Oryctolagus cuniculus: one gene and its partner. Each later gene encodes a partner of the first gene's protein in a complex. Links are inferred from orthologs where the notes say so. Each region holds a gene or a part of one and is shown on either strand. Other genes may lie near its edges.

The links.
Region 2: BAG3 (region 1) and HSPB8 share a complex: the UniProt entries of both Homo sapiens proteins name them as parts of the chaperone-assisted selective autophagy (CASA) complex. The link is inferred for Oryctolagus cuniculus from reciprocal best matches to the Homo sapiens genes BAG3 and HSPB8.

The regions. Positions count from the first base shown.
Region 1 is NC_091446.1:11,044,936-11,048,739, reverse strand, and holds part of BAG3 (BAG family molecular chaperone regulator 3), read left to right. Parts: intron 1-2,539; coding exon 2,540-3,355; 3' UTR 3,356-3,804. UniProt on the Homo sapiens protein: Co-chaperone and adapter protein that connects different classes of molecular chaperones including heat shock proteins 70 (HSP70s), e.g. HSPA1A/HSP70 or HSPA8/HSC70, and small heat shock proteins (sHSPs), e.g. HSPB8.
Region 2 is NC_091452.1:15,305,264-15,309,560, reverse strand, and holds the start of HSPB8 (heat shock protein beta-8), read right to left. Parts: upstream 3,057-4,297; 5' UTR 1,002-3,056; coding exon 635-1,001; intron 1-634. UniProt on the Homo sapiens protein: Involved in the chaperone-assisted selective autophagy (CASA), a crucial process for protein quality control, particularly in mechanical strained cells and tissues such as muscle. Displays temperature-dependent chaperone activity.

The DNA of each region.
Region 1 (3,804 bases):
GAACGCTGTCTCCTGCATGTTTCTAAAGTGACTTTTTTTCTTTTCTTTTTTTTTTTTTTTTTAAGATTTACTTATTTTACTTGAAAGACAGTGTTAGAGGGAGAGACAGAGAGACCTTCCATCAGCTGGTTCACTTGCCAAATGGCCACAGTGGCTGGAGCTGGGTCAGACTGAAGCCAGGAGCCAGGAGCTTCTTCCGGTCTCCCACATGGGTGCAGCGACCCAAGCCTTGGCCATCCTCTGCTGCTTGCTCAGGTGCATTATCAGGAAACAGGATTTGAAGTGGAGCAGCTGCAGATAGAACCAGCACCCAATGGAGTGCTAGCACTGCAGGCTGCAACTTAACCCACTACACACAGAGCGGGCCCCTAAAGTAGCTTCTTACACACCATTATTGTGTAACCCAAAGAGGCCATGGGGTTGCCTCAGGAGCAGTAAGGACCGGAGTTGGAGATATCTGGAGTGATAGAAAAGGCTTTTGTTTGTTTATTTGGTCTTGGTTTTTGTTTGTTTTAAAGATTTTTTTTTTATTTGAAAGGCAAAATGACCGAGAAGGAGACACAGAGAAAGATCTTCTATCTGCCGGTTCACTTCCCAAATGGGATTGGGCCAGACCCAAGCCAGGAGCCTGGAACTCCATCCAGGTCTCCCAGGCGGGTGGCAGAGACCCATTGTCTGCTGCTGTCCTAGCTGCCTTAGCAGGGAGCCGGATAGGAAGCAGAGCGGCCAGGCTGGGCCACAAATGGCAGTCTGATAAGGGGCGCCGGTGACGTAGGCGGCGGCTTACCCTGCTGTACCGCATCGCGAGCCCTGTCACAGCAGGTCTGATGGAAAAGCAGGTTCCGGGGCGACTGCCGAGTCACACTGGCTCCTGCAGGTCAGGAGCACCCACTGAGTGGTGGTGGCATCCTCACGGCATAATTGGTGAACAGTTCTCAACCCTGTTGTCACTGCCATCAGCTTTGTTCGTGGTGACCTTTCTTTTTAAAAAAAAATTTTATTTGCAAGGCAGAGTTAGAGAGAGGTCTTCTGTCTGCTGGTTCACTGCCCAAGTGGCCACAATGGCTGGAACTGGAATGATCTGAAACCAGGAGCCAGGAGCTTCTTCTGGGTCTCCCACGTGGGTGCAGGGGCCCAAGTATTTGGGCCATCTTCTGCTTTCTCAGGCTATTAGGGAGCTGGATCAGAAGTAGAGCAGCTGGGACTCGAACCAGTGCCTGTATGGGATGCTGGTGCTGCAGGCAGGGGCTTAACCTACTGCACCAGAGCACCAGCCCCTCGGTGACCTTTCTAGAGTTTTGTTCCAGGATCCCTTTTTGGAGGCCTTGAAGGATTTGACCTAATAACATATGGTAGGATTTAATATTAGAAATTGGGTGTACTTTAGAAATAGTACAGTCTGACTTTCATTGCCAAGTTGATTAGATTAGGGAGCATGAGACTTAGGGGAGATTTTAGATATTCATTTATATGCTAGAAGAACCAAGGTGTTTCTGATCGGAGCATAACTCATCATTTTCCTTCCTTTATTTATTTTTAAGATTTATATATTTATTTGAAAGAGTTACACACACACACACACACGCACAGAGGAGGGCTTTCCATCCGCTGGTTCACTCCCCAGTTTGCTGCAACTGTGCCAATCTGAAGCCAGGCGCTTCCCCCGGGTCTCCCATGTGGGTGTAGGGGCCCAAGGACTTGGGCCATCTTCCACTGCTTTCCCAGGCCATAGCAGAGAGAGCTGGATCGGAAGTGGAGCAGCTGGGTCTCAAACCCGCGCCCATATGGGATGCCAGCACTTCAGGCCAGGGGGTTAACCCACTGCGCCACAGCGCCAGCCCCAAGCTCATCATTTTAAAAAATGGCTCTTGCCGACAGTCTCGAGGAGAGACCACAGCCGGAGTCAGCATGGGAGGCGTTGCTGAGTGTGAGGTTCAGGCATGAGTATGCCTAAGCAGAATTCTCACGGAGTTGACGACCGTGAGTATCTTGTTTGTTGAAAAAAATTAATAAATAAATACACCAGGAACCACTATCCTGGCTGAAACTATTAGGCTGTCATAGCTTTAACAAAAAGAAGGCCTGCACCCCACTCCCCCATGAGTGGGCTGCGTTTGGCATAAGGAGTGGGGGCCAGGCCTGTGGCGCCAGCTGCCTCACCCGATGGTCAGAGCCACTCAGCACTCTGTTATCAGCAAAGTCGGCTCAGCAGTCAGCAAGAGGCTTTGCTATTTCATTTTTGAACATCATCTTGGTTTTCTTTTCACTGCTGTTTGAACACTGTCTACAGAGAGATTCTATGAGAGGTAACACAAGCAGCCCAAGGTGGTTCCCAGAAGCCTAACAAATGGTTTGGTTTCCTACATGATTAACGGCATATTTTGGTTTTGTACCAGCTGTTGGTTGACTTTAGACTCTCTCAATTAACCTAAAAAAAAGCCATTGCCCATTTTTCTGACTGGCACTGGCTGCACCCAGCCGCCCGGGACGTTCTGCCAGGGGTTGAACCTGCCTTTGTGTCCTCTCTTCTTTTTCACAGCCGCCCATGGCCCAGCGAGAATCTCCACCTGCTCCCCAACCTGACAGCAAGCCAGAAAGTAAGGCAGGCCCGGCAGGACCAGATCTCCTTCCCGGACACATCCCAATCCAAGTGATCCGCAAGGAGGCAGATTCCAAACCTGCTTCCCCAAAGCCGCCCCCTCCCTCTGAGAAAGTGGAGGCAAAGGTGCCCTCTGCTCCAGTCTCCTGTCCTCCTCCCATTCCCGCCCCCGCTGCTGTCCCCTCTCCCCCCAAGAATGTGGCTGCGGAAGAGAAGGCAGCACCCAGCCCCACCCCTGCCGACGCACCAGCCCCCAAGCCGGGAGAAGCTGAGGCCCCCCCGAAACACCCAGGTGTGCTGAAGGTGGAAGCCATCCTGGAGAAGGTGCAAGGGCTGGAGCAGGCTGTGGACAACTTCGAAGGCAAGAAGACCGACAAGAAGTACCTGATGATTGAAGAGTATCTGACCAAAGAGCTGCTGGCCCTGGATTCCGTGGACCCGGAGGGACGAGCTGATGTGCGCCAGGCCAGGAGAGACGGTGTCAGGAAGGTCCAGACCATCTTGGAAAAACTCGAACAGAAAGCAATCGATGTCCCAGGTCAAGTCCAGGTTTATGAACTCCAGCCCAGCAACCTTGAACCTGATCGGCCACTGCAAGAAATCATGGAGATGGCCGCAGACAAGGGGAAGAAAAGTGCCGGAAATGAAGACCCCCAGACTGAAACCCAGCAGGCAGAAGCCAAAGAAGGAACCACTGCAGACCCCAGTGGCACGACGGACCCAGCTGGGAGCCAGGGGAGCCCAGCGACAGCGTAGTCTCCGCTGAGTGGGGTCAGGCTGGAGACGTGGACTGGGTTGTGTGCTCTGGGGATTTTAAGTTGCATGCATTTCAGGGACTTTCAGTCAGTTTGTTTTTGTTATTTGTAGCCGCTTGGTACGCAGTAACTTGGGTGGAGGCACAACACACTAATACAAGGGCTGAAGGGAAGACGATGCTTCTCTTCTGTAGCCTTGTTCTGTACGAAGAAAGAAGCTGCTTGTTTAACCCCATTGCTTGTTTTGGGGCCCTCTGCATGGGCACCACGCCAGCTGTGGTCACTGTCTTCCTTTAGCTCTGGACTGAAGGCGTTGTTGGGGGTAGATGGGGAGCTGATTTCCCATCACGTAAGCATAACTCACTTCTCAGAAATGTTGCCATTTTTGTTTTAATGGGATGATTTTCTTCATCTCAGTAGTTCAAGTATCTAACTTTAGATAGAGTAAAT
Region 2 (4,297 bases), on another chromosome or scaffold:
GCCATCCCCTGCCCTCCCCTCCCCAGACAGCCTTGTCTGAGCCGCCGGTAGCCTTGGCTAAGGTACTGTAAGCTCTCCATCTACAAGAGGAGGAGACAAACAGGAGCCGACCTTCTGTGCCGTCCTGTTCGCTGCAGCGTTAGACACGGCGCCTAGGAGGTGGCGAGCGCTCCCTCAGGGTTACCCCCGGCATCCGTGGAGTCACCACGGAGCCCCTGTTTCCTGATCTGTGATGAAGGGGAGTCATGGAGTCTGTGCCAGTTATAGACGCAAGGCGACATCAACACGTTTGTGGCGAAATGGAGTTAAAGGACACGCTTACTCTGCGGAAAAAGCTTTGGAAATCCAGGCCTGGCTCTTTCATCCCAGGCGTGGGAGGCCGCCCGTGGTGTCACGGCCCAGCCCATCCCACGAGAGGACAGGGTGAGGGGCCCGTGTCTCCCTGCTCTGTCGGCCTAGCCTGGCCTCTGCATTCAACTGTCTCTGTTGAAACATCCAGGCGGCTTTCTGTGTCCCTGGCCTGGGCCCTGGCAGCGGGGGCAGGGTGAGCGTCCTCCTGGGAGCTGGGATAGGAGCACTTTCCATAAACACAGGCCCCGAGCGCAGCTTCCCCAAGCCCCCAGCCCCAACTCACCGGACACCTCCACGTAGCCGTCCTTGGTTTTCACCATCAGCTCCTCGGGCTTGAAGCTGTGCACATTGACACACACTTTCCAGGGTTCCCCGGGGAATGGTGGAGGGCTCCTGCCCTCGGCGGGCACCCCAAACCTGGCCGCAGCGTTGGGCCCCCGGGGCACTATGCCCGACCTCAGGGTCCCGGGCCACGGGGACGAGAGCCGAGGCAGCGCCCAGTCCGGCCACGAGGCGGTGAGGTCGTCGGCGAAGGGGTCCATGCCAAAGCCATCGTCCAGCAGGCGGGAGGACAGGGACGAGTCCCGGAAGGGGTCTCGGCGCAGGCGGCTCGGGTAGTGGCAGGAGAACGGCATCTGCCCGTCAGCCATGGCGGCTACTGAGCTCAGAGGGGAAACCGAGGCTCAGGGTGAAGGCACCACCTGCCCAAGGTCACGCAGCTGAGCTGGGCTTCCCGGCTTATCTTCAGCTTCAGGAAAATGCCAGTCTTCAGTCAGGGAGAAGCAGGACCATCCACGGCCACGGCGGCTCGTGCACACCAGGCTGGGGTCCCAGCCCCGAAAGGTGCTCCCTGGCTGAGCCCAGTGGAATTCCCCCTACCAGGGACCCGGAGATCAGCAAGCCACGGTCCTCCCGAAGCTGCCCAGGCGCGCAGCCAGAACCACCGAGCTCGAGAGTGGAGCCAGGGGCTTAATAAACTGGGGAACACACGCCTAGAAACTTCTCCTGGCTTCTGGGCTGGGAGCCTGCTATTTATTCGCTGCTGGGGGTTGGGGGTGGAGCCGCAGGCGCCTCCTGTCACCGGAGTATTCGGAGGTGATGAAGCAGCCCCAGAGAATCCGCCTAGGGGACAGCTGGGCTCCGCACCGGCCCGGGGGAGGCTGGGGGAGGCTGGGAGGGGCCTCTCCGGATGTTCTCTCCTCCCAGGCGCGGCGCTCGGCTCCGCCCTCCCGCTGCCTCCCCCGCCCCGCCCCGGCAGGGCTCAGCCGCCTGGCTATTAATAACCCTCTGCCCTGCTGAGGGTTCAGGTCACCCTCTGGAAATACCTTCCCCGAGCCTGTGGCTGCAGGCGTCCCCGTCGGCACCTGCAGAAGGGGAGGAGAGAGGGAGGCCGGATAACCGGTGGGCTTGGAGGCGGATGGCTCTGGGTTGTCTTTGGAATAGAGTGGCAAAGGGAAAGAAAAACAAAACAAAGCTGTGTAAATCTCTACGTAGACTAGGATTCCAGCGGCACTCCAGTGGGGAGGACTTTATGGGGGGGGCGGCTCTGGCGGTAGGTGCAGGGGCCGCATGCTGTGCAGTGGAGGAGAAAGATTGCAGGGCCCCGGAAACACCGGAATCCCAGAGGGAGGATCAAGGAGAGGGCCAGGGGGTGGAACACTGCCGGGAGGAACTTCTAAGTCCAAGGGATTCTGGCTAAACCAACCGGACGAGAGATTCTGGCTTAGAGTCAGGCCAGGCTGGGATCAGATCCCACCTAGGGGGTGGGGTGGGGCTGGAGAAAGGGTTGGGTGTCAAGGGTGGGTCTTGTTGCTTAACTGACTTAGGCGGTTCTTTGCTGAAATCGGATTTTACGAAAAACTGCGCAGATGCACCCAAAAGAAGGCTCAGGAACGTGGCTACGGGTTGGCCAAGCCATGAGCCTGGCAATTGAAGTCTAAAGCATTAGCGTGCCCCTCGGCACCTGTGAGCCGGCTGCTTTCCCACCTGTAAAGTGGGCGCGAGAGCAGCCTGCTCCTGGATGTGTCCGAGGAGCGGCTGGGGCAGGTGATTCTCGCCCAGCGTTTAGGACACCCATCGGCACTTTCGTTCTTCCAGTTTTGTTACCAGTGACGCCAACGCTTGCTCTGTGCCGGCCCCCGTCCCAGGTACTTCGCAAATACTAACTCAATGGATTCTCCGCCCACATTTTGTAAGGCAAGGAAAGTGCCGCAGGCCGTGTTATCGAATGACAGTGTCCCTTAGGATTGCACAATTATTGCAAAGTTCTGTGCCCAGGCAGGACGTCTGCCCTGAGCCCAGGAAGAATTGCATTTTCCAGGCTTCTCCGCGGCTCCTGTGCGGCTGGAAGAACCAATTTACAAACCTTCCTTGGAGGCCGGCGCCGTGGCTCACTAGGCTAATCCTCTGCCTTGCGGCGCCGGCACACCAGGTTCTAGTCCCGGTCGAGGCGCCGGATTCTGTCCCAGTTGCCCCTCTTCCAAACCAGCTCTCTGCTGTGGCCAGGGAGTGCAGTGGAGGATGGCCCAAGTGCTTGGGCCCTGCACCCCATGGGAGACCAGGAGAAGCACCTGGCTCCTGGCTTCGGATCAGCGCGGTGCGCCGGCTGCAGCGGCCATTGGTGGGTGAACCAAAGGCAAAAGGAAGACCTTTCTTTCTGTCTCTCTCTCTCTCACTGTCCACTCTGTCAAAAAAAAAAAAAAAAAATCCTTGGGCTTAAAAACAACAACAAAACCCCCTGGGCTTAGGTTCCTCTTCCTCTTTGATCGGTCCCCAACAGGTGGCAGAGGTCTTTTCCTCTGCCTTCTTCGTGGGGTGGGGGTGTTCAGAAACTCAGTGAGTCACAGGTCGAGAAACGGTTGGATGTTAAGCGGTGTCTGCTTAGGCAGTTTGCTAAAAATAACAATCCATAGACCCATCACCGTGGTTTACTGCCTCCCTGGCCCCGCCGCTGAGGGGAGCGAGGTGTGGGGCGGGTCTGCGGAGTCTGCGTCAGACCCTCCCTCCTGCTTCCTTGTGGTCCATGCCCCCTGCAGACCCTTGCCTCTTACCCTTGGCTGTGGGGCTGCAGGACCTGGGCCAGTGGGACTTGGGTCGCCCTGACTCCCAGCTCTGTCGCTGAGCTGCCGGATCCTAATGGAGACCCCCAGCCTCCTCCCGCAACAAGAAGGGGAGGCAAGCCCCAGGCCGGCGGGCAGCGCTCCGAGTGACTGGGCCCCCACTTGATACGGGGTGAGCTCATCAGCCTAGCAGCTTCAGGCTGACGTCACTGCCTCGGCTCTCTCTGTAATTACAGCTGGGCAGGGCCAGCTGACTTTGAAGCCAGTTATGGGGAGAATTGGGAGTCATCAGCCCTACCAGGGACCTGGGCGAGACTGGGGTGCGGTTTCTGAGTGGGGGGGGTCTGGGTGGGAGTGGCTTGGCATAGAGCAAGGCTGGGAGTGGATTCGGGTGGGAGCAGTGGGAGTGTGAGTGTGTGTTCAGGGTCAGGGCTGTGTTTATGGAAGGGTGGGTCTTCTGGAAATACTGCTTCCCCTCCCCCTCCCTTCTGCAAGCCCCAATGGAAGCTTCCAGAAAGCCCCTCTGCCTAGAACAAGGCACAGCTGGAACGAGGAGAACAGATAAGACGGAAGCCTGGCCAGGGAGCGGGAAGGGAACCGGATGACCTAACCCCCCTCCCCATGTCGAGGCCGCAGGGAGGTGGGTGTTGTGGCACAGTGGGTTAAGCCACGGCCTGTGAAGCTGCTTAGCATCCCACGTGAGCACTGGTTGGAGTCCCAGCTTCTCCATTCCTTATTCAGCTCCTTGCCAATGCACCTGGGAAAGCAGTGGAAGATGGCCCAAGTGTTTGGGTCCCTGCACCCACATGGGAGACCCAGATGGAGCTCCCGCCCCGTGATCCTCCCCTGCTTCCCGGTGTCTGCTCCTGGGGCTCTTGTTACATTTC